Linked DNA regions of Canis lupus familiaris. The protein of the gene in region 3 interacts with the protein of the main gene of each other region in a biochemical or structural test. Links are inferred from orthologs where the notes say so. Each region holds a gene or a part of one and is shown on either strand. Other genes may lie near its edges. The genes, in order: USP16, RNF8, H2AC20, RNF168, UBR2, KAT2A and UBE2B.

Region 1 (4,210 bases), on a different chromosome or scaffold from region 3:
GGAGGTGTGTGTAGGGAGAGAAATATATATCTAAAAATGAAAGAAAAATACTAGATAGTGATTATTACTGGGTAGCGACATAAAATAAAGTGAGGTGAGTGATCAGGTGGCTACATAACCTAGATTGCCCAGCCAATTTCTCTGTGAGAAAGTGACTTTTAGGGCAGCCTCGGTGGCTCAGCGGTTTAGCGCTGCCTTCAGCCCAGGATGTAATCCTGGAGATCAGGGATGGAGTCCCACGTCGGTCTCCCTGCATGGAGCCTGCTTCTCCCTCTGCCTGTGTCTCTGCATCTCTGTGTGTGTGTCTCTCGTGCATAAATAAATAGTCTTTTTTTTTTTTTAAAGTAGCTTTAAATGTGTGAACAGAATTATAATAGCAACCACAGAAGATCATGGGGAGCAGCATTCTAGGCAGAGGAAGCAAGAAGAAGCAAGCAATGTCCCTAAGGCTGCATTTTAGAATAGAAAAAAAAAAAGAAATGCCTGTGTGCTGAGTGAAGAAAACTTGAAAAAAAAAAAAAATCTTATCAGCAGTAAAAAAGCAGGAGAGTCAAATGTAACCCTTGTGACTCTGGCCAAATTGATCAGGTGAGGATGCCACTTTCTTAATCTACCTTTATCGGATTACTAATAAGGATGGACATTTCGTCCTATCTCTTAACGACCAATTGTCCTTTTATTGTGAATTACCTGTGCGTCTCCCTTGCCTATTTTTCGGTTGGCGCTTGCATCTCCCCCCCCCCCCCCCCCCAGCGATGGTCTTGTCTTCCGTAGATTAACGCCCCAGAGCAGCGAGCCTGTGTTTATTCAATTCACTTCACATGGGCCTCGGCACTTAACATATTTTGAACGGACACACAGTAAATGGAAATTTCACCTTCAGTCGGCAAGACGATTTATGTTCCCAACCTCAGAAGTCGATCGGACACAATGAGGGCAACTGCGTGAAATGTAAACGTTATTTACATACGTTCACGTTCAGACGTGATGTAAGGTCAGGAGGATGTCATCCAGGAGGTTCCAGGTCTCTGACCACCACCAGGTACGCGGACTTCCGAAGCATTTCAATAATCCCTTAATTACTTCAGAGGCAGGGATACTGGGCAGCCCCGGTGGCTCAGCGGTTTAGCGCCGCCTGCAGCCCAGGGCGTGATCCTGGAGACCCCGGATCGAGTCCCACGTCGGGCTCTCCGCATGAAGCCTGCTTCTCCCTCTGCCTGAGTCTCTGCCTCTCTCTCTGTGTCTCTATAAATAAATAAAATCTTAAAAAAAAAAAAAAAAAAAGAGGGAGGGATACCGACCGCCCCCAGGCTCCTCCAGGCAGCTGCGTCTGAACTTCCGGAGGGAACCGCGCGCAGGCGCCAACGAAATAGCGTCGGCGCCGCAGGCCCCGGGGGCGGGGCTTAGCCACCTCCCATAATGCCGCGTACCGGAAGTTGTTGCTTTCTGGGGGTCAATCTGGCTTCTGCTCTGTCGCTCTCTCTCCGTCATCGGGAGGAAGACGGAGCTGGCTGCCCAGCCCGCGGGCCCATTAGGGGGTGCAGCTATGGGCGCTGTCGCCGTGGGTGAGTTCTGTTCCCACTGCCTCGCAGTCAGCGCTGGCACGATGTCCTGCGTCTCGAGAACCCGAATCTCCTGCCTTTAACCTCGTTCTCCTCCCGAAGGCTCCTCTTCCCAAAGCACGTTACCCGGCCTCGGCCCGGTACCGCGTTCTCATTGGCTTCATGTCCTGTCTGTTCCAGGAGCTGGCCAATGAGTTGTCGGTGCTGGCGCCCTGTTCGACCCCGGACCCCCAGGCTCCCCCGTGGGTGCGGAGCAGTTGGACGGGAAGGGGAGGTGTGGCAGGCAGCGCGCGGCCCGGAGCGCCCCGACACGTTGGGGTTGGGTTCCATGTGGGGGTTAGTAGGAGAAGCCGGGTCTGTCATCTCTCCGGTTCAGGGAACTAGGGTAGGTCACGGCTACGCCGAACTTGAAAGCCGCACTTCAGACCTGCTGACAAAACTTTTCCGAACGCTCTTCCTTTTTTTTTTTTTTTTTGAATGGGTTTCGAGCTGGCATGAGAAGGCTGGGAAGGGACGAGAACGGGTTAGTTACGCGAGCCGGCAAGACCAGCTTCGATTTAAATTTTGTGTGGAGTCCTGCAAAGAGTCACTTGGCCGAGAAGCTGACTCTCGTCTGTCGACTCATCTGAAAAACTTCACAGATTTATTGATGATGCTTTATAGCTGGTGGTGCTTGCCAGTCTCTTTTCTCGACTCCTTTGATGCCCTTTGCAGCCGCGAACGATGTATTGCAGCGCTTTCCGCAGCTCTGAAGCGAGCCCCTACCGTCCTCTCCCTGGAGTAGTTACAATCAGTCTTTCAAGTTTTTCTTTGGAGGCTGGGCTACTGCAGTCCTCAGACCAGATTTGCTAGTGGGGACGAATTCACTCGTTACCTTTTTGTTTTTCACCGGAACCTGTTTGCTTCATTCTTAGGGTATACCTACCTTTGTACCTTATAATCGTTTATTTTTTATTTTTTATTTTTTAATGTCTCAGGTAGTATTATGCTCTTTCTTTCTGTTTCAATGCAAGAAGTATTTCTTGAGAAGTATTTCTGTATGTACCGACGCTATGTTAGATAGATGCTTTTTGGCAATTCAGAAGTGATGCCTGAAACCGCCTCTTTCTCCTAAAACTTTAGATTCCAGATAGAGAAATAACAGGTGTCCAGATCCAAAATTTAAGATGTAGCCCATCGGATTAGGGAACAAAGTGAATAGTGCACATTTATAAAGGTTGGGGAAGTTCAGTTGAGAGGTTTATTTAAAATAGAACGGTTGCCTAAGGCTTCATTGAAATGGACATTTTGGAGAATTGGTAAGATTTGGATAGATGGAGGCAACCTTCCCAGCTAGAGATCACAGGCTTAAAGGTGTTTTTGGAGAGACTGGCTTGATGAGGATGCAAAGAGTGGTGGTCTTGGAACCGAAAGAGCTGGGTTTTAATTCCATCTCTGCCGCCCTGTAGTCTTCCATCACTTTTGTTTTTGAGTTTTGTTTTTTTTTTTTTTTTTTTTTCCTTTAGCAAAATTCTCCATTTAAAGGGTTATTGTGAAAATCAAGTAAGATAATGCTTATGAAAAGGCTTTGAAGATCAAAAGCAGTGTATAATTAGAATGGAACTTTAGTGGTTCTTTGCTGAGAAGTAATGAGAATCAGGATTACCAGAGCATTGAGGACACTTTGTAAAGGACCGTGAGTGCATAGCTCAGGAGCATGGATATGATGAGAATGGCATTATTAGAAGGAATATCTAGTACTGGAATGCAGCACAGATTAGAGGTAGTTGGATTGGACGCAAGAACTTGGGTACTATTTTTTTTCCCCTTAAAATCTGTAATTCTAGAGAAGATAAATTACATAACATGTTATTTTAGGGTGACAGAACTTACTTAAAATATACCCTAGTTTTATATATACCCATATCCTTTGTGTTTTTTGTTTGTTGTTAGTTAACTCATTTATTTTGTTAACTTGGAGCCTTGTTACATTTTAGATGATCCTTGGAAGGTTTAACAGTTGCTTGATGTGGTACTCCTTTTTCATATACATCTTTTTGAATTAACTTCACTTACACTAACCAATCAAGAGCTAAAAGAGGGATAATTCTAAAACCTTAGCCAGGACAGGATGACAGCTGAGTATCAGAATTAATTGGGAAGGGTTTTCAAAACCTGTCTCCCAGGTCCTACTTTCCACTTAGGTAATCAGAATTTTAATAAGCATCCCAGGTAAAGTAACTATTACAGTCATTTAGGTGATGTTGACACTGAGCTTTTGATGTGAAGTACAAGTTTTCCAAATCATTATTTAAAGGTAGGTAGATCTATATACTTTCAACAGTTTTCATGTTTTCTAGTTTTGAATTGTTGACTAAGGAGGAGAAGATTTGTTGTGCAGCTAGGTTTGTCATAGTCTTCCAAAAAGATTTTGGCAGTAATATAATAGTGTAAACAGTTGAGAATGCACTTGTAATAAATTCTCAGTTAGCTAATAACCCACAGGGAATACTGGTATGGAAAATGTGGAACAGTGGATCACTTTTTATATTTAGCTTTGGAATTTGTAAATTTTCTAACTCCATTTAGTAGATTATCTTCAGAATTTTTTGAAATTTTTCTTGGAGAAATTATCAATTTAATTTGCATAGACTGCAGAGCTAAGCAAG
Region 2 (3,500 bases), on a different chromosome or scaffold from region 3:
CATTCTACCTTCCGCTTCATCCATTCATTGATACAGTAGGAGCAGAAACTGTGGGCACAGTTCAAGGTGACAGCCTACAATGGGAATGTGAACACACATATCAGAACTATCATACTTACTTTCCCAGCACAGTTGTGATCTCAAAGCTAGGACAGGAGTTCACTGCCAAGGCCAAATGGAAATTTAACTCTAATCCCATCTAGAAAGCTTACAGATGGTATTAAAATTGTTCTTGGGGATAGGAAATTTTAAGTTAGATGATTCATTTTCTTTCTCAAAGGTAAGTTCATAGATGTAGGCTGATTTGTCTGTCTTGTTCCACCAACTCAGATGACACTGCCAATGCCAGATTAGCTACCTTGCAAACAAATGTCACTGGACACAAGTATGATTTGTAAGTGTGTGAATGTTTGGTACAAATACATTACCAATTTTTTCATGGAAAACAAATGTATAGCCTGCTAATGGTGAACCAGAACTTCAATTTTAATAGACGCTGGGGAGCACATTCTGAATATTCAGTATATAGAATGGTAGAAAGCATCATCTGTACTCAAAGAAACTTAAAAAGTAGAATACATGTTAAAAGACAACTAAAAAGGCTGGGAAAAAAGAAACTGAAAAAATGGGAAAAATGTAATGGGTTCACTGACAGTGACTGAATCAAGTAAATACACTTGTGAGAAGAGGGAAAGCGGAAGGGAGTCTAAATCTGAGTAACTCCTCTAAGTAACTCCAATGGTCAGATTTCTGCCAGGGTCCTTTCCACTTTTCTTTTAAACAAGATCCTTTTTTTTAAAAAAATATTTTATTTATTTACTTGAGAGTGAGTAAGTGAGAGGGAGGGAAGGAGAAGAAGAGAGAATCTGAAGCAGACTCTGCACCCAGCACAGGGCTTGATCCCCTGATCTTAAGAGCATGACTTGAGCCAGAACAAGAGTCAGACATTTAACCAACTGAGCCACCCAGGCACCCTGCCCTATCTGCTTCTAAAAATATAAAAACCATGCTCTTTATTACTGTTGTTTATGTACATCTCCTAAAATACAAGTTTTTCTGAGGCTCAAAAGTCTTCATTCCTGCTTTTAAGGATAGCAGTGGAAAATAACAGAAATTATGCATTTTTCAAATGCCAAGTTGAGCACAGAAAGTCAACTAGGAGTTATTTTGTTAACTATGTGAGATAAATCCTCACAAACATGACTAAAAACCTGATTAAAATAAAACTTCTTTCCGATACTGACTTTACAAGGTGATCATGGAAAAGGTCAGACAGTCTGCTGTAAACAAAGCATGGGTCAGGTTGTCTCTTCTACATCGGTAGAGATGCTCTGGGTGGGCTAACTGATCACCTTTCTGAACCCCCCTTCCCTGGCCTTCCTCCAGCAGAGCCCTGTCAAAGCCAGACTGAGTTTCTACAAAGTAGGGAATTAAATAACTAGAAACAATGGGGGAAATGGTGTCAATTTGATCCACAGCAAAAGAAACAGATCTGCCCAGGAGGGATTTCTCGGGAGGCTAATACACTCAACCTCCCTAGAGACTACCAGAAAGGAGGACAGAGTGCGTGCATGCATTTTCCTTTTTAAAGAAGTCTGAAAAGCACTGTCATTTAACTTGAGTTTCAGATGAATGGCGTATGATGAACTGGTCACAAATGGTAGAATTTGTGAAAAATAAAGTCCTAAGGAAAAATATGACATGATGACAAATGGTAACCTAGAAGAGGTTTTGTTTTCATAGGGAGCCTCAGAGTCCCTGAAATATGTTCCACCTGGCTGCTGAAGTCCCAAAGTGACCACACATCAGTGACATTTACCACCCCGTCACAGGCTGCACGAGCTGCCTACTCTCAGCACTGTGTCCATTCAGAGTAAAGAAAGAAAAGCTTTATAGAGTAGCTTTACACCGATACTTCAAAAATCTAATACCATGTGGCCCTGTTTTCTCCCAACACCAAAGAAATACAGGCTTTACTGCAGCTAAAAATAGTGATTGTACCAAATAAACACTCAACATCACGCAAAATGAGAAAAAGATCAGTGAAGGTGAAGAAAACTACAAAAACAAATGAGATATGGCCATCTCTCGAGGTCACTTTGAAGTCAAGTAACTACAACAGATTCCTAGAATAAAAATCGCTTCAGAATGTTTCCCTAGGGCAGAACCTGTGTAGCTGAGGCTCCGTGCGGTAGAGAGAACAAAAAGGCATGAGCCACTGCTTATAATTACCTCAATGAAGTATTCTGAGCAAATAATACACTGGAGCTCATTCTCTAGCACATCATTCACGTGGCTAAGGACTTCCTCCTTCTGGGCTTGCATCTTCTCCTTCTCTTCCTGAAAAGACACACAACCCCACCTGTCATTTGGGGGAACCGACGAGAATGCAAAACAGGACAGGGAGCAATTGTTTGGAATAATATTCAGGACTCTAAATAAAAAATTCAACCTGGCACAGCAACATGATACTAAAACTCTTTCCCTAAGGGTTATGGCTTCTCAGAACTGCTTTCTGATACAGGGCACTGTCTTCCTTTCTTTCCTCTCTCCACTTCTTCTGCATTTGCACCACAGGTTCTGTCTCCTTTCCCAGAACCAAATGAGAAAAACTGAAGGTAGCATACTCAGCACACCAACCACCCAAGACCAGAATGAGGCTTTATGTATCCTATAACCAATGGCAGTTTAGAGGTGATATAAAATCATCTCAAGCAACCAAGAACTCACTGGACATGAAAGCAGACATGAAAAACACTCCATAGAGGCAGGAAGCCTGAATTAATTTATAAGGCCCCCTGTATTCCTTGCAGCTGCCTCTTCTGCAAAATAAGGATGTTATTTATACTCCCTGGAGGCAGGGGGCTGATTGGGATCTAAGCTGTATGATGCTTGCCACCTCCTCCTCCTGTAGGTCTGCAGTCCAATTTCCCTTTCCTTTCCCCAAGAGGTCAGACCACTTGTGGACACACTTTTGGGGGTGGGGATGCTAGGTGTTTTCTCTTGCTTCTAATTTAGCACCTCATCCCCAGACCAAAAGTGTCAGAAGCCCCTGAAGGGAAAGGAAAGGCCATTTAGGATATATCTGAGGGGCTGATTAATTTTTCATCTTTTTTTTATCTCTTCTAATCAAAGTAAAGACTGTACACTGCTTTGGGCAGCAAAGAGGTCTGGACCCATTTTAACTAAAGTCAAGTTCCCTGAAAACTTAAAAATTGCTAGGTTTAAAAAGATGTGGTGGTTTTCTGGGAATTAAGAAAGAAGGTACTATGTGATTTAAACAAAAGATAAAGATCTCAAACCAAATGAAAGTTGAATCTCCTTTCTGTATTCTGCTCCAGGCCTGTCTGGATAGGGAAGGGTAGGCTGAGAGATGTAGTCAGCCTCAGGTACTGGTTTCATGTCAAAGGTTCCAAACTGATGGCCTGTGGACTGCATGTGGCTGGCAGATTTGTTTAGTTTGGTCCTGATGGTATTTAAAACAAAACAAAACAAAACAA
Region 3 (2,292 bases):
GCCCGCGCCAAGGCCAAGTCGCGCTCGTCCCGTGCCGGCCTGCAGTTCCCGGTGGGCCGGGTGCACCGGCTGCTGCGTAAGGGCAACTACGCCGAGCGGGTGGGGGCCGGCGCCCCGGTGTACCTGGCTGCGGTGCTGGAGTACCTGACGGCCGAGATCCTGGAGCTGGCGGGCAACGCGGCCCGCGACAACAAAAAGACGCGCATCATCCCTCGCCATTTGCAGCTGGCCGTGAGAAATGACGAAGAGCTCAACAAGTTACTCGGGGGTGTCACCATTGCCCAGGGCGGCGTCCTGCCCAATATCCAGGCGGTCTTGTTACCTAAGAAAACGGAGAGTCACAAGCCTGGCAAGAACAAGTAACTGGGATTGAGAGCATCCCCACTAACCCCAAAGGCTCTTTTAAGAGCCACCAACAATGTCAATTGAGGGGCTGGTAACGAAATAGCGCCACTAGCTCTTTTTTTGAAAGCTTAGGTGGCTCTAAAAAGAGCCTTTGATCTTTGGCTTGTCAGGATTTATTTACTTTTGGCTTTGTGGCTTTCAGTTTTCTTTGGTAAGAGAACGGCCTGGATGTTGGGCAGGACGCCGCCCTGGGCGATGGTGACCTTGCCCAGCAGCTTGTTGAGCTCCTCGTCGTTGCGGATGGCCAGCTGCAGGTGGCGGGGGATGATACGCGTCTTCTTGTTGTCGCGGGCCGCGTTGCCCGCCAGCTCCAGGATCTCGGCCGTCAGGTACTCCAGCACGGCCGCCATGTAGACGGGAGCGCCGGCCCCCACCCGCTCGGCGTAGTTGCCCTTACGCAGCAGCCGGTGCACGCGGCCCACTGGGAACTGCAGGCCGGCGCGGGACGAGCGCGACTTGGCCTTGGCGCGGGCCTTGCCTCCTTGCTTGCCACGACCAGACATGATTGCTAGCGAGGTTAAAACACCTAAAGCTCAGACCTGACAACAAAACAGCAGCGAAAGATGAGCGATGGAAAAGCCTTTATAAGCTTTGCTAGGGGTGGGGTCAGGAACGAGGTTTTCATTGGTCCTAAATTGGCTCCAGAACCGGCCAATGAGGCCAAGAGTAGGTGTTGTGACGCAGCTGTTGCTGATAACGCAAGGTCCCCACAAGGCCCAATGGAAACGAAAGGTTTTAGGAGCCCTTATTTGCATACGGTGGTTATAAAAGGCTCAGGCCCGCCCATTCTCGCACTTCCTTTCTTCCCCAACGCGTGTGCTCCTTTACAATGCCTGAGCCTGCAAAATCCGCTCCCGCGCCCAAAAAGGGCTCGAAAAAGGCGGTCACCAAAGCTCAAAAGAAGGACGGCAAGAAGCGCAAGCGCAGCCGCAAGGAGAGCTACTCCATCTACGTGTACAAGGTGTTGAAGCAGGTGCACCCCGACACCGGCATCTCGTCCAAGGCCATGGGCATCATGAACTCGTTCGTCAACGACATCTTCGAGCGCATCGCCGGCGAGGCCTCCCGCCTGGCGCATTACAACAAGCGCTCCACCATCACCTCCCGGGAGATCCAGACGGCCGTGCGCCTGCTGCTGCCCGGCGAGCTGGCCAAGCACGCCGTGTCCGAGGGCACCAAGGCCGTCACCAAGTACACCAGCTCCAAGTGAGTCCCTGCCGGGACGCGGCGCCCGCCGGGGTCGCCGGCCGCCTGACTCCAAAGGCTCTTTTCAGAGCCACCCACCTAATCACCTGAAAAGAGCTTTGTTCACTTATTTTACCCTTCACTTTCTTCTCACAAAGTAAGTTCCTTGTGGAAGGTGGAAGGTAGTACGCGGAGCTTTTCAAGCCATTCGTACTTGGAGATTCCCGGCGCGTGACTGGCTTTGCTTTCTAATCTGGGTCGCGTCTTAACCCCGTAACTGCTGCTTAGTTCTACAAACTCCTTCGAATTAGGATACTGAAAATCTCCCCACCTCCCGTCGCCGGACTATTGCGTCCTGGCCGCTCTGGGGTGGACGTCTCACTGGTGTTCTAAATCAAATTGGGTGACTTCGGTCGTCCTTTAAGAAAGGATCAGCTAAGCCCGGGTCCCGGGAACGTTGCGACCAGCCCCGAAGAATTCTGAGCGTGCGGCAGCCAAGCCGCCTGGCGCGGTCACCGCCTCTGCGGCGCGGCGCGGCCTCCCGTGGACCCCGCGGTGTGGGCGCCGGGGGCGGGGCCTGCGCTCGACTCCTATAGCCTCTTCGTGATTGGACGGTATGAATATTCAAAATCTGGCGCCGGCCCCCAAAGTCGTGGATTCTGGTGTCCGCCGAACCCTTTGAAGCTTTGAAATCCCTCCCTA
Region 4 (3,500 bases), on a different chromosome or scaffold from region 3:
ATTAAAAACAAGAAGGATTAGAACAAGACTCTTTACAGGCAGAGATGACCCCAGATTCTCCTCTCTGGTGTATTTTTTTTACTTATGTCATTTGTTATTCTATTGATCAATGTCTTAAATTTCCTAATTGTGTACCTTTTTAAAACTATTCCACTAAAATTTTAAAAAGAAGAAATATATTAAAAAGGGCAAGGGTGGGGCGCCTGGGTGGCTCAACTGGTTAAACATCTGCCCTCGGCTCAGGGGTCCTAGGATTGAGCCCCGTGTTGGGCTCCCTGCTCAGAGGGGAGTCTGCTTCTCCTTCTGCCTCTCCCCCTGACTTGTGCTCTCTCAAATAAATAAATAATAAATATTTTTTTTAAAAAAGGGCAGGGGTGCCAGGATGGCTCAGTTGGTTAAGTTTCTGACTCTACTTCACAAAGGTCATGATCTCTGGGTTGTGTGCTGGGTGTGAAGCTTAAGATTCTCTCTCCCCTCTCTGACCCACTTTCCCCTCTTGAAAAAAAAAAAGGGGGGGATATATAATCTAAAACTTGGGTACACTATGAATAGTAGGCCTCTCCAAAAAAAAAAAAAACTCAATTCTAGATATATTTTGTTTTGTTAAGTATATTTTAAGATATTTATTGTTTATAAACAGGAATTGTTTTTAGATACTCTCAAACTTGAGTGCACACCAGGCTTCCCTAGATGCCTCTGGGAAAGGTATTCCGAGAATCCCACCCCCAGAGAATCTGATACAGTAGACTTAGAACAGGTATGGGGGGCACCTAGGTGGTCAGGTGCTCAGGGTGTGACCCCGGATCGAGTCCCGCATCAGCTCCCTGCAGGGAGCCTGCTTCTTCCTCTGTCTGCGTCTCAGCCTCTTGTCTGTCTCTCGGGATTACATAAATAAAATTAAATTAAAAAAAAAAAAGAAAAAGTATGGGAATTTGTATTTTAAAAGAACCTTTGGTGATTCTGTCAGGATCGCACTGTACCCTCAGGACTCAAAGTATGGTTTTATCATCCTTCTATTCATCTTTCCCAAGGCAGTAATTTAACTACACAGCAAAATAATAAAATCCAGGTCTAGCGTATTACTTAAAAATTTAATGTGCTTCACTTCCATTTCTTTTTAAGATTTTATTTAATGTGCTTCACTTTCAAAAAGTGATTTGCATCCATATAATTTAATGTTTTTGCCACTCTTAAAAAGATTTAGATAAGACTGTGTAGCTACAGGAACAATCTCTAAGATATACCAAGTGAAAACAGGCAAGAAAAAAACGGAGTGTGACTGATACATTATTTTTAGGTGAATAAGAAAAATTAAGGAACTGTTTAGTGCTAACCTTTGGGGAGACTGAGGTAATGGAAAAGGAATGAGAATATGGAGGTGGGAGGGGACAGAGGAAGCTTTCACTGTGAATAACTTTCCTACAGACTCTGAATTTACTAAAATACTTAGGATTTTTTTCACATGTACTTCAGAGCAAATACATAACATGCAAAAAATGTAATAATACGCAAAAAATTTTGTTTTAATTAGAACATATATGTCAAAAATCGCTTCTAGTAGGGGATTCCTGGGTGGCTCAGCGGTTTGGCACCTGCCTTTGGCCCAGGGTGCAATCCTGGGGTCCCGGGATCGAGTCCACGTTGGGCTCCCGGCGTGGATCCTGCTTCTCCCTCCTCCTGTGTCTCTGCCTCTCTCTCTCTCTCTATGTCTATCATAAATAAATAAATAAATCTTTAAAAATCACTTCTACTCATGGTGAACTTCCTCAGATCTTTGAAACCCACGTAGTTTCACGGTTGTGAGATGGAGCCCCAGGTTGGGCTCCACCCTCAGTGTGGAGTCTGCTGGAGTCTCTCTCCCCCTCTGCCCCTCCTGCTTGTGTTCTCTTTCTCTCTAAAATAAATAAGTAAATCCTAAAGAAAGAAAGAGAAGAAAGAGAAGAAAGAAAAGAAGGAAGGAAGGAAGGAAGGAAGGAAGGAAGGAAGGAAGGAAGGAAGGAAGGAAGGAAGGAAGGAAGGAAGCCAAAAACCATGTAGTCAAAGCAATAGGAACATCAATACTTCACGGTTCTCTCCTAAAACTTACGATATTAACGCTTAGCTTTCTTGCTAGTTCCTCATCACTTTTCAGTTGCTCTTCCATCTCTCTTCGCCTTTTTTCTGCCTGTCGTTTTTCCTCCTCTTCCTCCTCTGCTAATAATCTCTGTATGTATTCTTCACTGGCTTTGTTTTCTTCTTCTTCACTAGCTCGTCGCTCTGCCTCCACCTTAAAAATGATTAATAAAGAACAATTCTCTGAACTTTTAAATATTTAATATATTTAACTTTTTTTTTAAGTAGGCTCCACATCCAGTATGGAGCCCAACACAGGGCTTGAACTCATGACCCTGAGATCAAGACCTGAGCAGAGATCAAGAGTCGGATGCTTAACCAAACAAGCCACTAAGGTGCTCCTATACTTGCAACGTTTCTTGAGAAGAACAGCAAAAGTAATAAAAAAAAGAAAAAATTGGCAGGAATTACAATGTTTCAAATGATGTACAAATATGAAAGCAAATTCCTACAAAACAGGAAGCCTTCCCCAGTCAGCCCTATGAAATCTTCATCAAACCTCCACTCCTCTTCACCTACCACACCTTCAACTACACTGTTATCCTGAAGTTAGGAGGAAGCCCCCAGGCACAGTGGGTGGGACTGGAGTGGTTGCTGAAGAAGCAACCACAATGGTGATTATGTGATTTACAGATGAGCAGACAGAAAAGCAAGTAACTTTTTTTTTAAAGCTTCTTTTAAAAAAGATTTTTATTTATTCATGACAGACACAGAGAGAGGCAGAGACACAGGCAGAAGAAGCAGGCTCCATGCAGGGAGCCCAATATGAGACTCGATCCCTGATCTCCAGGATTACACCCTGGGCTGAAGGCTAAACCGCTGGGCCACCACGGCTGCCTGCAAATAACTTTCTGAGCTCATGGCAGAGTAGAGACTCCAGCTCAAATTCTAAGACTCGAGGCCATGTTTGTGGTAATTTAAACTGTACTTCCTGGGGCACCTGGGTGGCTCTGTGGTTGAACATCTGCCTTCGGCTCAGGGTGTTCAGGATGTGATCCCGGAGTCCTGGGATCGAGTCCTGCCTCTGGCTCCCCACAGGGAGCTTACTTCTCCCTCTGCCTGTGTCTCTGCCTCTGTTTCTCATGAATAAATAAAATCTTTTTTTAAAAAAAGAAGAAATATGAGGGAAATAATCTCTTCCTCTGCCATGTGAGGACACAAGGAATAGGCAGTGGTCAAGCCAGGATAGCAAGTCCTCATCCAACAGATCTGCCTGTGTCTCAATCTTTGACTCCCCAGACCCAGAATTCTGAGAAATAAATGCTTTTTGTTTACCCACCCAGTTTACAGTATTTTTGTTATGGCAGCCCCAATGGAAGAAGATACCCATAATCTACCACCTTTTTTCCATGCTTTAAACTCAAAGCTTCAGGGAAATAAAAAAAAAA
Region 5 (3,500 bases), on a different chromosome or scaffold from region 3:
ACATGTTTTTTAATAACCCTTTAAAGAAATAAAAATGTCTCTTGTCTGGCATATTTCAAAATTCTTTCAGTCATGTACAGTACTGCTTTGTGTTTCAAATCAACCTAATTCAGAATGTTTTTGTACATTTTTTTTAAATGAGCAGTTCGCACATAATAGTGGTTAAAGTATCAGTATCTATGTTTAAAAGTTAACTATCTGGGGCAGCCCCAGTGGCGCAGCGGTTTGGCGCCGCCTGCAGACCAGGGCGTGATCCTGGAGACCCTGGATCGAGTCCCACGTCGGGCTCTCTGTATGATGCCTGCTTCTTCCTCTGCCTGTGTCTCTGCCTCTCCCTCTCTCTGTCTCTATGAATAAATAAATAAAATCTTAAAAAAAAAAAAAGTTAACTATCTCTCTTACACTTAATAGTTTTTTAAATGCCAGTATTACATGAGCCACTGATTCCTAATCTAAAATATTCCTCTTCCTCACTATATTGATTTACAATGCAATCATTATTGGGTATAATACAATCATTTTAGTTATTTTTAAAATTTGGGCAGATGTGTTGATACTTCAAGTATCTCTGCTATAAAGGCTGTTTCTTCTAACACTGGGGTTGTTTATTTTTTATAAGACTTCAGTCCATTAGGAACTGAATCCAAACATTGGTTACTAATCTGTACTGTATAAATGGTCTCTCTACAGAGTGCGGGAATGTCAGGTGCTATTTTTAGCTGGCAAAACCAAAGGCTGTTTTTATTCTCCTCCTTACCTTGATGACTATGGGGAAACTGACCAGGGACTCAGGTAAGAGCCCATCCTAGGGCACTGGGTTGGCTGATCCTGGGCCTCTAGAGCCTTCAGTACACTGATCAGTCCTAGTGATCAGGGAGTCTGCTTGTCCCTCTGCCCCTCCCCCACTTGTACTCTCTCTCTTTTTCTTTTTCTTTCTAAAATAAATAAATAAGAATGTCATGAGGGCAATCAGGACAGATAAGGGAAATAATAAGAGAAAAGCAAGTTTTTTCCCATTTGTCACTCCAGAGAACCATTGAAGTAGCCTGTTGTGACTTGTATGACTTTGTAAGAGGAGACCCAGTGTTGTTCAGAAGTTATAAAAGAGCAAATATTAATTGATAAGAGATGTGTTTGGGGCATCTGGCTGGCTCAGTCAGTAGAGCATAAAACTTTTGATCTCAGGGTCATGCGTTTAAGCCCCACATTGGGCATAAAGCCTACTTGAAAAAAAGAGAGACGTGCTTATGTTATTAACAAGAATCTGAGGGCAGCCTGAGTGGCTCAGCGGTTTAGCACCACCTTCAGTCCAGGGCGTGATCCTGGAGACCGTGGGGTCAAGTCCCATGTTGGGCTCCCTGCATGGAGCCTGCTTCTCCCTCTGCCTGTGTCTCTGCCTCTCTCCCCCTCTCTCTCTGTGTCTCTCACGAATAAATAAATAAAATCTTTAAAAAAAAAATCTGAGGACAAAGATGTAGAACATATAGAGCAATACAACAGTATTTGAGGCTTAATCACTTCTACTCTGGTTGCTTCTATTATATCATGAGAAAAATGCTAACAACAGTTCCCTCAAGCACTATTAACTTCTTCTAGACCATCTCTTTGCCCAGAGGAGGTGAAAGTCTTAACCTAGGTAAAACCATCCAGCCTTGGGAAGCAGAAAATTAAGAACTGGAAACCAAGGCAAGATAAGTAGAAGGCTGCCCCAGGGGCTTGGCTACAAGGTTATGCACGTAATGCCACCTGGTGATGGTTCTTCCATTGCCCTGAGGAATGTGGGCTCTTAGGAGGAAGAGCCCTGGTTAGAGAGTAAGAGGATTGTGTGTGCTCTGAATCAGGAACAAAGGCCACCAGCATGAACTCATCAAAACTTCTATGGTTAAATTAGACCCAGATGTTATTCACAATTGCCTGCCTTGCTTACTAGACTTTATGGCTAAAAAACAGCACCATGGGAAACATTTTTACTTCTGCAGTTCTCTTTCCATCTCCCCTGCCTCCTTCAGTCTTACTTTTTACCAACAAAGTGGATAATGAATAGGTAGTTGTAGCCTCTCCACCCAGACCCTCCTGCTCAACCCTAGCCTCTCTTCCCTCACCATAATCTGAGTAAGTGTAGCTCCTATACATTTTCCTCTTCTTTTCAGTACTTACTCCCTTCAGCTGCTCCTAGCCAGCCTTCAGAGCTAATGTGTTAATAGCCACAGTCTCATACCAAACAGGAATTTTGCAGAGGATCTTAAACCAGTAACTTGTAACTGTTCCTAAAAGTTGGGGTATAATAGATGAATAAAAAGAATGCATCCTGAATGACATGCGTCTTCCTTCTAGACGGGGAAATCCTTTACATTTGTGCAAAGAGCGATTTAAGAAGATTCAGAAGCTTTGGCACCAGCACAGTATCACGGAGGAAATTGGACATGCACAGGAAGCAAATCAGACACTGGTTGGCATCGACTGGCAACATTTATAGTTACTTCACTACCAAAAACATAAACTTGGATTTTTGTAACCCAGTTGGCTTTTCAGGAAAGAATAGGAAATAAATTCTACTGAATTTGGAAATAAATTCTATATTTAAGCTTTTCTTCCCAGTTTTGTTTTCATAGTTTCTGGCTCCAGGGACTGATGAAAATCATCTTCCATCAGTGGATTTTCTTGCACCGTTTGCTGTGTCCCTCAATATAACTGCTTGAGTTTTAGAATTCAGCGAGGAATTTCTCTTCCCAGGCTGGGCACAGCCCCTTTGTGGGCGTCTAACCGCTTTGACTGTTCCCAGTAGTCTGAGCCATGTTATGTTACTGATCACAAGGCACGCCAGGCCTGAAGCTGATTCGACAGCAGCAGGAAACAGTCTCTGTGGTCTGTTGGGGTCACATTTCCTGGTCCCTTTCAGTGACTCTCAACACTGGGACTAGGTCGCTGTCCCCTCTGCTGACAGGACCCTACCTCTAAGAGCAAAGCAGTGGATTTTGAAAGTGGCTATCCCTGTCTCCATTGGCTATGAGCAGGTTGGGGCACATGTGCAGGAAGAGCCTGTGGGATGGAGAGAGCCTGGTTGCTTCATATGCTGGGTGGTTTTCAGGGCTATAAAAGTTGGATTTGTGGGGGGAGGGGGGCAAGACTTTTGGCTTTGAGAAAAAAACTCATTTTAAAGGGCTTTTTGAAAACTTAGACTATCCTAATTTCTCAGACAATATATTCCCATTTCTAAGACTAAACCAAGAGATTGTATGCATCTAGAATCAAACTAGAAGAAAAAAATGAGAATTCAGTGTTTTGAGGTTCCCCTACCCTTTCTAGCATTTCCTGGAATAGACGAATTACTGTTTACCTGCTGGCTCACTTAGTACATTCCTGGGACAGCTTTTGGGCCCAGGGTTTTTATTATTTTTAAGCATTATTGTTCTTACTAAGAGGTGCCTTCCTAGAATGATAGCCGCTTAGTAGAATAGGTTTTAACTGTTACATACCACATAGCCACTCTCATTTGATGT
Region 6 (4,080 bases), on a different chromosome or scaffold from region 3:
TACGTGGCAGTAGCAGAGCCATCTGCGGGCAGAGGGGAGGTAGGATGGAGAATGGAGACACTAAACCCAGGTTGGGCTTACGAGCACAAGCACCCCCACCCCTACCCCCTCCCCCACCCCCCGCTGGCCTTGGCCAGCCCTACCTGGTATAATTGACCTTGTAAGTAGCCACATCCTCAGCCTGAGACCGCTGCCGAAATTGGGCAGGAGTCTCAAGCTTCCAGTAGTTAAGGCAGAGCAGGAACATCTTTGAGAGTTCAAACATCGTCTGCCGCTCCCGAGGAGCCAGGTGACTAAACTTATACTGCACAAAGTTCAGCACACCCTGAGAAGGGGTGGGTAGGGAACAAGACCAGGAAGGAGACGTGAGCGGCCAGCAGGGGTTTCTTATACAAAATCTGGTGCTTCCTGAGGGCAGGCTAAAGCTCCCCTCTCACTCGGGCTCTCTGTGAAGAAAAATTGTGCCCCCTTCCCAGCCCCATGCCCATCTTGAACATCCTCCCTTCTCTGAACCTGTCCCTTGTTCTCAGCTTGAGGAAGATGGGGAACACAGGCTCCTCACTCCTCCAAGATGCCCCCAATTCTCTTACTACCTTCCTCATCCCACCTGCTCAATATTAGGCTTCTCAAATGGGGGACTGCCCAGGGAGCCCTCCACCACTGGCCGGGTCATCTGCAGGATGCATTTCCGCAGGAGCTGGAGGAAGAGGAAGAGGGAGGAGTAGAGGTCAGTGGAGCTCAGAGCTGCAAACTCCCCAGTCCAGCCCCACCTCCTTTGCTCATTCACACTCACTTGGATGAAGCTCACCTTGAAGAGGTAGAAATAGACCTGCTTAGTGTCCGTGTCCTCCTCTTTGTGAACAGACATGAACAGGTTCTCCACGTCTACCACCATACCCAGCAGCCGGTTAATCTCATCTTCTGACACATTCTCCAGGTGGGACACGTGGTCAGCTGCAAGAAGGAAAGGTGGTAGGATTGGAAAGAAAGGATAGATGACGAGAGCTCTCTCTCACTCTTCATCACCAATTTACAACCTTGGTAGCTCCAAACAGCATGACCAGTAGTGAGACTGACTGCTACTATGTCAGCCTTGGGTGGACCCTGTCTATTCCGGGCTGGCAAATTTCCTTTCTCTTCCCTTGGGAGGGATACATGTTCCCAACCCAATCCCTCCTTCGGAGGCATTTTTGGTTCCAAAGATAAAACTCAGTGGCACTTAAATTATCCTGTCCAAGCAGGCCCCAGGACCTGCCCCCGCCCCAGCTCCAAGGGCACTACCTGCCTTACCCAAGGGGTGCTCACAGCTGCGGCACAGCTCGCTCAGGTTGGCAGCTGGCTGCTGCAGGTCCATGCGGGGTGCAGTGGGGGGCTTGGGGTTTTTCCAGCCATTACACTTGCAGGTTTCATTGGCCTGGCGTTAGAAAACTCGGTCAATAGCCCTGTAACCGGGCACGGGGAGCCGATCCCCAGCCACAGATTTGCCCCCATTCCCACCGGAGCCCTGGGATGCCCCAAGCCCCGCCCCTTCTCACCCCAGGCCCCGCCCCCACCTTGCAAGCCGAGAAGACCCCTAGCTTCTCAAGCTTCTTGGCGCGCGGCAGCCCCCGGACTTGCGCCTTCCTCTGGCTGGCGCGCTGCTGCTGGCTCAGGCCAGGTCGAGCCGGATCCCCTCCGCTCCCGGTCCCCCCACTTCCTACCCCGGGACCCCCAGTCCCTGTGCTGCCGGCTGGGGCTGCAACTGGCGCGGGGGCTGGTGCCGGAGTGGGAGCCGGAGTCGGGGCTGAAGCCGGGCTGGGGGCAGGAGTCGGAGGTGGGGCAGGGGCTGGAGACTGAAGGGGACGGGGCTGCGTGGCCGGAGCCGGGGTCGAGGCCTGGGAAGGTTCCGCCATGGCCTCCCCCGCAGCGGAGCGCGGCGCGGCGCTCCTAGCCCTAGGGCCGCATGGGCAACCGGCGCTCGGTGCGCAGGCGTCGCTGCGCCGGAGCATGATGGGAGTTGTAGTCTTCCACGACCGCTCCCTCCGTTTCTGGCTTCCAGACTTTTCTGTCCTGCCTCTTGGCCCCAGACAAGCAAGTGAAGCCTGAGCCATTACCCTAGATTGTCTCCTCCTCACTTCTAATCTCTTTGAAGTCTTATGGGATAGCGAGGATTGCCGTTTTCTTGGGGACTTGGAGGAGCATCTGAGAAAACAGGCTCCTGTTGAGGGGAATCACAGATGCTGCCCGGGGTCGTGTTGGCTTCCGCCCCTCCACCCCCTGTCCCTGTCCCACACGTCTGCGGACACGGAAGTGCAGCCACAGCGGAGATTAAGAAGCAACACTTCCATTTCTTGCCCCGTGGAGGTGGCTACATGGGGGTGCTCTCTGGGGGATAATTCAGTGGTACTCTCTGGTGCGCTTCTTCTATTATGTTATATTTCAGCAATAAAGGATTATCATAAAAGCCGTGAGCGCCTGAAGGCAGGGTTCGCGTCTTCCTTCTGTCCCAGAGCCCAGCCCTCAGGCGGCCACAGTAGACCCAGAGTCTGACGAATGAAGGAAACCAGGAAGTCGCGGTCACCTCCTAAGCCCCGTGTCACAAGACCGTGCGCGGTCAGGATGGAAGACCCTCACGGTCACACCCCCGGGCTCGGTTCAGGGGACAGCCCTTCTTGTCCTCAGGCCTGATTCTGGGAAGGGCAAGAGCCCGGCTCCATCTCGCCTCCGCCCTGCGCTGGTGAGCGCTACAGGGTCGGCTGGTCTGCGCTGGTGGGTCACCGCCCCGGGAGCCAGGATGAGAGCAGCAGTGGCGCGCCAGGGCGGTGACCACCAGGCCTGCGGAGACCGGACTGGCGTAGCAGGCGGCCGCGGAGGAGCGGAGGAGCCAGGCCGCCCCAGGGCCTCTCCCCAGGGCGCGCAGCCGCACCCCCGCCCCCCCCCCCCCCCACGCCGCCGCCGCCACCGAGCGCCCAGAGCCACGCCCAGGGCCTCGCGCCCTCGCCCTCGGACAGCAGTTGCTCAGTCGGATGCAGCGGGTTGGTAGCGGTCTCCCCAGCGGGAGCCAGGTGGCATCCCGCTGTCCCAGCGTGGCCCTTGCCCAACAGAACCAGGTGGCCACACTGCCCGTACGGCTCCTGAGGGACGATGTGGTGACTGCGCAGAACAACTTCCATGCAGAGAATGGCTTCCAGATGAAGGTGGATGCCTGTGGCTTTGCCCCGGAGGAGCTGGTGGTGCAAGTGGACGGCCAATGTCTGATGGTGACCGGCCAGAGGCAACTGGAGGGCTGCAGCCCAGATGGGGCTGGCTACCGTGTGGCGCAGAGGGTGCATCGGCAGATCCAACTACCACCGGACCTGGATCCCACTGCCGTGACCTGCAGCATGACCCCCTCCGGCCAGCTGTGCGTCGGAGGCCAGTGCCAGGGCGCTGCCTTCCCAGGAAGCCCAAAAAGGCCCATCCCCGAGACTCCGAGGCCATGGCTCTAAGAAAGGTCAACCTACCCTGACCCAGTAAACAACAATTCTAGTGTGCAGCAGCAGCCTTGGTGTTCTGTGGTCTTTTCTTGGGGTTGGGATCAAAGGTGGAGGCATAATGGAGGTAGAGAGAGGGCCAGTGGAGGGCTTAGGGAGGCAGGAAAAGCACTTTACGGTGGTGGTCCAACAAGAATCAGGCCTCTGTGGCCCCGGGAGGAGCTGGGTCCGGGGCTCAGTAGACCAACAGCCCTGTGCTGGGCAAATGACAGCAGCAGCTCCAGCAGGGAGCAGCAGAGGGCCAGGATGGCAGCGGGGGCACCAGGCTCCACAACCAGCAGAGGGCCCCGGCAGACCAGAGATCAGATAGATACAAAGACTGGACTTGATGTGGGGTGGTCTCTTGGTCTGAAGACCAGGCAAAGGTTCCAGAGATCACCTGGGAAGAGGATGAGAAGACCCAGTCCTTCACAAGGTACAGACTAACCAAAAAACCCCAAGAGGTGGTTTCTGTTGTTTCAGAGACCAACTATTTTCAAATACAAACTGCACATCACCCCAATATAATCTGGAGGGGGGTGGGGGCAAGGCTAATACAAGCCCTCAATTTCAAACTTGGGGAGATTCA
Region 7 (3,500 bases), on a different chromosome or scaffold from region 3:
GCGGGGGTGGTCATGTTGCACAGGTAGCTGTGGTTTGGAATCAGACCGTCTTTGCATCTTTAGAGCACCAAAAAAGGTGGTCTGTGAAAATCGGACTCGGGGCCTTTAATTTTTGTTGATGGCATTCTGTGTGTATCACTTCTCAAAGGTACATCTTAAGCTTGATATTCAAAAAAGGATGAGTCCAAAGGCCTTTGGAATTTTAGTCAATTTGGAGAGGTGTTTAAGAAGTATATATGTGGTTGATTTCTTTTTTTTAAAGTCATATTATTTTCCCCCTAAGCACAAGAACAAGGAAATGGTGTTAAAGTAGGTAGAATAGTCCATAAGGGTTCTCTTTGGCCTTCATAGCGACCTTAATGTTCAACTTTGAAAATTACTACTCTGGATTTCTAGATTGCAAGAGGACCCACCTGTGGGTGTCAGTGGCGCACCATCTGAAAACAACATTATGCAGTGGAATGCAGTTATATTTGGGTGAGTGGAAAGATATAAAAAATGATAGGTATAGTAATTCTTTTAAGAAAAGTGAATGTAGCAAGTAGGCAAAGAGGCTGAGGTGGAATTGAGGGCTCTTACAGAAACTGCAAAGTAAATTAGAAAAGAAATTCTGTTAAGTATTTCTGCAGTTAACTAAAATTTGTGTTGTATTATTTATGATTTTACAATCACTTTGGGTTTTATCTGATAAAAATTAAACAAGAAAAGGTAAATTATTGTACAGAATAAATTGTACCAAGCAAATGTTTATGCTTGCATTCTTTTGGAACTGTAAAAAGACTAAGAACTAAAAAATACCCAGAGCTTCCAGTGTGGCAAGAATTCATGAGAAATGTATCACATGTTATATATATAACACTTTTTTTTTTTTTTTTAATAGAGGCAGGAGTAGAGGGGGGAGAGAGAGAAAATCTCAAGCAGACTCCACACCACGTGCCAAGCCCAACGCAGGGCTCCATGGCACAACCCTGAGATCATGACCTGAGCCCAAATCAACCACTGAGCTATATGGGTGCCCTGTATATATATGCCTCTTAATTTAAAATTTCCTTATGTCTTTTATTTTTCTGGACTTGATCTCTTTTTCTTTCACACTTTTTAAAACCAGGGGTTTGTACTAAAACCTTAAAGGTACACCTTCATAAACAATTCTGAGTAGCCATTGAATTAGTTATGAAACTATATTAAATACTAGTGGAAAAATGAGTGTAGTTTATTCTTCTAAAGAGATTATATTTGGGGTACCTGGGTGGCTCAGCAGTTGAGCATCTGCCTTTGGCTCAGGTCTTAGAGTCCTAGAATGGGGTCCTGCATCAAGCAGGAACCACCACCACCACCACCACCACCACCACCCCACCCCTGCCAATGGAGCCTGCTTCTCCCCTCTGCCTATGTCTCTGCCTCTCTCTCTCTCTCTCTCTCTCTCTCGTGAATGAATAATAAAATCTTTTTAAAAATAGATTACATTAAATTCAGGCTAACATGCTTTGAGGTCCTGAATGTGCCTTGCAAGAAGAAATAACGCTTGATGGTGCTGCTTAGGAAAGATGAAATTGGGGTATGGAGGCAGGGAAAAGGTTTGAGCAAAAGAAAGTGGCTTTCTTGGTTACATCAGTTCTCTAGCTGTTTTGAACAAGAGGTGTTGCTTTGTTGGGAAGCAGGATGCTTGGTTTGGTGTTATATAATTATCTTGCAGGGGCATTTCCATCTTATTGATGTGAATTGAAAATATGATTTTTTCTCTTAAGAATATACTTTTACAAAGTGACTGGTTGGTATTTATGAACTGAATTGGTGCTAAAACTATGAGGCTTGTCTTTGTAAATCCCCCCTAAAATGAAAACCTAGAATAGCTATCCTTTATGCCTATCTCTATAAAAATCTAGAGCTAAGATGGTACTAAACTATCAGTATCTTTAAAACTCCACAAATCATTAGAATAAGCCCCCTCTTTCTCTGTGTGTTTATCCTTTTGACTCTTAAAAATCAAGAAAAAGAGGGGTGCCTGGGTGGCTTGTATGGGCAACTGATTCATCATCTCACCTCAGGTTTTAAAAGGTTTTTTTTTTTAATTTTTATTTATTTATGATAGTCACACACACACACACACACACACACACACACACGGTGCGGGGGGGGGGGGGGGCGGGCAGAGACATAGGCAGAGGGAGAAGCAGGCTCCATGCACCGGGAGCCCGACGTGGGATTCAATCCCGGGTCTCCAGGATCGCGCCCTGGGCCAAGGGCAGACGCTAAACAGCTGCGCCACCCAGGGATCCCTCACCTCAGGTTTTAGATCTCTGGAGTTAGGCACTGTGTTGGGTTCTGCATTGGGCCTGGACCCTACTTAAAAAAAAAAAAAAAAAAAAAAATTAGGAAAAGGCAGAATGAAACATCTTTTAATCAGAAATCTTCTTGTTTTCAGACCAGAAGGGACACCCTTTGAAGATGGTAAGTCATTCTCAATTATGTTTTCTGTAATACTAGGACGCTGCGTTTAAGTAAATAATTGTTAACACCAACATACTTAAAACTATTTTCTGTATCAGCTTGACCACCTCCATTGCCAGTTCTTTGTGTTACTTTGGTATTTGGCTGTAGAACTGTAGGCCTAGATAGTAGGTTAATGGTGGATAATGGTGCTTTTTTAACATTGTTATCTATGTTGATAAAGTGTCAAGCTGAAATTGTTCTTAAACTTTCATAGCTGAGGCATCTGGCTGGCTCATTCAGTAGAGCACGTGACTCTGTCTCAGGGTTGTAAGGTCGAGCCTCACATTTGGTGCAGAGATTACTTAAAAATAAAATAACTGAAATCTTAAAAGAAAGTAAGAAAGACCTGCCAGTAGCTTCACATACAGTTGGCTTTTGACACCCATAAGTAGCATTCTGTGTATAATCTTTTTACTTCTTAAATTTAGTATTTCCACCAAAAGCCAGGAAAATGGGAAACTGGTCCTGATACGTATTTATAATTGCACTTTTCAAATTGATTGTAATCGGGTTCTTAGATTTTCTCTAATTACAGCATAGATTTTTAAAAATTATTGAACAGATTTGTTTTAATTATCAAAATGTCTCCAGAATTAACCCATTGAAAATATTTGAACAAAGATACTATTTTTTAAGGAGATAACCTGAATGCTTAATAGGGGAAAATGGTTAAGCAAATTATGAGGTATCTATATTATGGAATATTATGTACTTGTTGAAGAATAATAAGGCAAATCTGGACATATGTCTCGAGACAAAGTTTTAGAAAAACGTATATTTTTACTAAACACATATATCCAAGTGTGTGGGTATTAAAGGGTTATAAACCACACCATTATCAGTGGTTTCTTCTAAGTGGGGATAAGGAATTGAAGAGAAGTAGCTCTAAGGACTTCAGCTTTTTGCACTGTACCAGGGGTTCTCAGGTGGTCCATAAACCCCCTTCAAGTCCCTGAGACTTTCTTGGGTTCCTTATAATTAAAACTGTCTTTATAATTTAAGACATT

Evidence for each region.
Region 1: of the proteins of H2AC20 (region 3) and USP16, one has a biochemical effect on the other in vitro, tested with the Homo sapiens proteins (2 studies listed by BioGRID). The link is inferred for Canis lupus familiaris from reciprocal best matches to the Homo sapiens genes H2AC20 and USP16.
Region 2: of the proteins of H2AC20 (region 3) and RNF8, one has a biochemical effect on the other in vitro, tested with the Homo sapiens proteins (2 studies listed by BioGRID). The link is inferred for Canis lupus familiaris from reciprocal best matches to the Homo sapiens genes H2AC20 and RNF8.
Region 4: of the proteins of H2AC20 (region 3) and RNF168, one has a biochemical effect on the other in vitro, tested with the Homo sapiens proteins (4 studies listed by BioGRID, with this or other methods). The link is inferred for Canis lupus familiaris from reciprocal best matches to the Homo sapiens genes H2AC20 and RNF168.
Region 5: the proteins of H2AC20 (region 3) and UBR2 form a complex in vitro, tested with the Homo sapiens proteins (2 studies listed by BioGRID, with this or other methods). The link is inferred for Canis lupus familiaris from reciprocal best matches to the Homo sapiens genes H2AC20 and UBR2.
Region 6: of the proteins of H2AC20 (region 3) and KAT2A, one has a biochemical effect on the other in vitro, tested with the Homo sapiens proteins (2 studies listed by BioGRID). The link is inferred for Canis lupus familiaris from reciprocal best matches to the Homo sapiens genes H2AC20 and KAT2A.
Region 7: of the proteins of H2AC20 (region 3) and UBE2B, one has a biochemical effect on the other in vitro, tested with the Homo sapiens proteins (2 studies listed by BioGRID, with this or other methods). The link is inferred for Canis lupus familiaris from reciprocal best matches to the Homo sapiens genes H2AC20 and UBE2B.

What each region holds. Positions count from the first base shown.
Region 1 is NC_049252.1:24,570,350-24,574,559, forward strand, and holds the start of USP16 (ubiquitin carboxyl-terminal hydrolase 16), read left to right. Parts: upstream 1-1,410; 5' UTR 1,411-1,546; coding exon of another isoform or gene 1,547-1,565; intron 1,566-1,807; exon of another isoform or gene 1,808-1,947; intron 1,948-2,064; exon of another isoform or gene 2,065-2,477; intron 2,478-4,210. UniProt on the Homo sapiens protein: Specifically deubiquitinates 'Lys-120' of histone H2A (H2AK119Ub), a specific tag for epigenetic transcriptional repression, thereby acting as a coactivator.
Region 2 is NC_049233.1:6,586,602-6,590,101, reverse strand, and holds part of RNF8 (E3 ubiquitin-protein ligase RNF8), read right to left. Parts: intron 2,341-3,500; coding exon 2,233-2,340; intron 75-2,232; coding exon 1-74. UniProt on the Homo sapiens protein: E3 ubiquitin-protein ligase that plays a key role in DNA damage signaling via 2 distinct roles: by mediating the 'Lys-63'-linked ubiquitination of histones H2A and H2AX and promoting the recruitment of DNA repair proteins at double-strand breaks (DSBs) sites, and by catalyzing 'Lys-48'-linked ubiquitination to remove target proteins from DNA damage sites.
Region 3 is NC_049238.1:59,831,278-59,833,569, reverse strand, and holds H2AC20 (histone H2A type 2-C), read right to left. Parts: upstream 961-2,292; 5' UTR 909-960; coding exon 519-908; 3' UTR 501-518; downstream 1-500. Other genes in the region: H2AC21 (histone H2A type 2-B), read left to right, coding at 1-363; H2BC21 (histone H2B type 2-E), read left to right, coding at 1,235-1,615. UniProt on the Homo sapiens protein: Core component of nucleosome. Nucleosomes wrap and compact DNA into chromatin, limiting DNA accessibility to the cellular machineries which require DNA as a template.
Region 4 is NC_049254.1:30,253,054-30,256,553, forward strand, and holds part of RNF168 (E3 ubiquitin-protein ligase RNF168), read right to left. Parts: intron 2,267-3,500; coding exon 2,087-2,266; intron 1-2,086. UniProt on the Homo sapiens protein: E3 ubiquitin-protein ligase required for accumulation of repair proteins to sites of DNA damage. Acts with UBE2N/UBC13 to amplify the RNF8-dependent histone ubiquitination.
Region 5 is NC_049233.1:11,480,380-11,483,879, forward strand, and holds part of UBR2 (E3 ubiquitin-protein ligase UBR2), read left to right. Parts: intron 1-690; coding exon 691-792; intron 793-2,334; coding exon 2,335-2,476; 3' UTR 2,477-3,500. UniProt on the Homo sapiens protein: E3 ubiquitin-protein ligase which is a component of the N-end rule pathway.
Region 6 is NC_049230.1:20,651,322-20,655,401, reverse strand, and holds the start of KAT2A (histone acetyltransferase KAT2A), read right to left. Parts: upstream 2,801-4,080; 5' UTR 2,091-2,800; coding exon 1,554-2,090; intron 1,415-1,553; coding exon 1,291-1,414; intron 955-1,290; coding exon 809-954; intron 698-808; coding exon 608-697; intron 326-607; coding exon 144-325; intron 23-143; coding exon 1-22. Other genes in the region: HSPB9 (heat shock protein beta-9), read left to right, coding at 3,006-3,467. UniProt on the Homo sapiens protein: Protein lysine acyltransferase that can act as a acetyltransferase, glutaryltransferase, succinyltransferase or malonyltransferase, depending on the context.
Region 7 is NC_049232.1:22,535,474-22,538,973, forward strand, and holds part of UBE2B (ubiquitin-conjugating enzyme E2 B), read left to right. Parts: intron 1-396; coding exon 397-477; intron 478-2,425; coding exon 2,426-2,451; intron 2,452-3,500. UniProt on the Homo sapiens protein: E2 ubiquitin-conjugating enzyme that accepts ubiquitin from the ubiquitin-activating enzyme E1 and transfers it to a E3 ubiquitin-protein ligase. In vitro catalyzes 'Lys-11'-, as well as 'Lys-48'- and 'Lys-63'-linked polyubiquitination.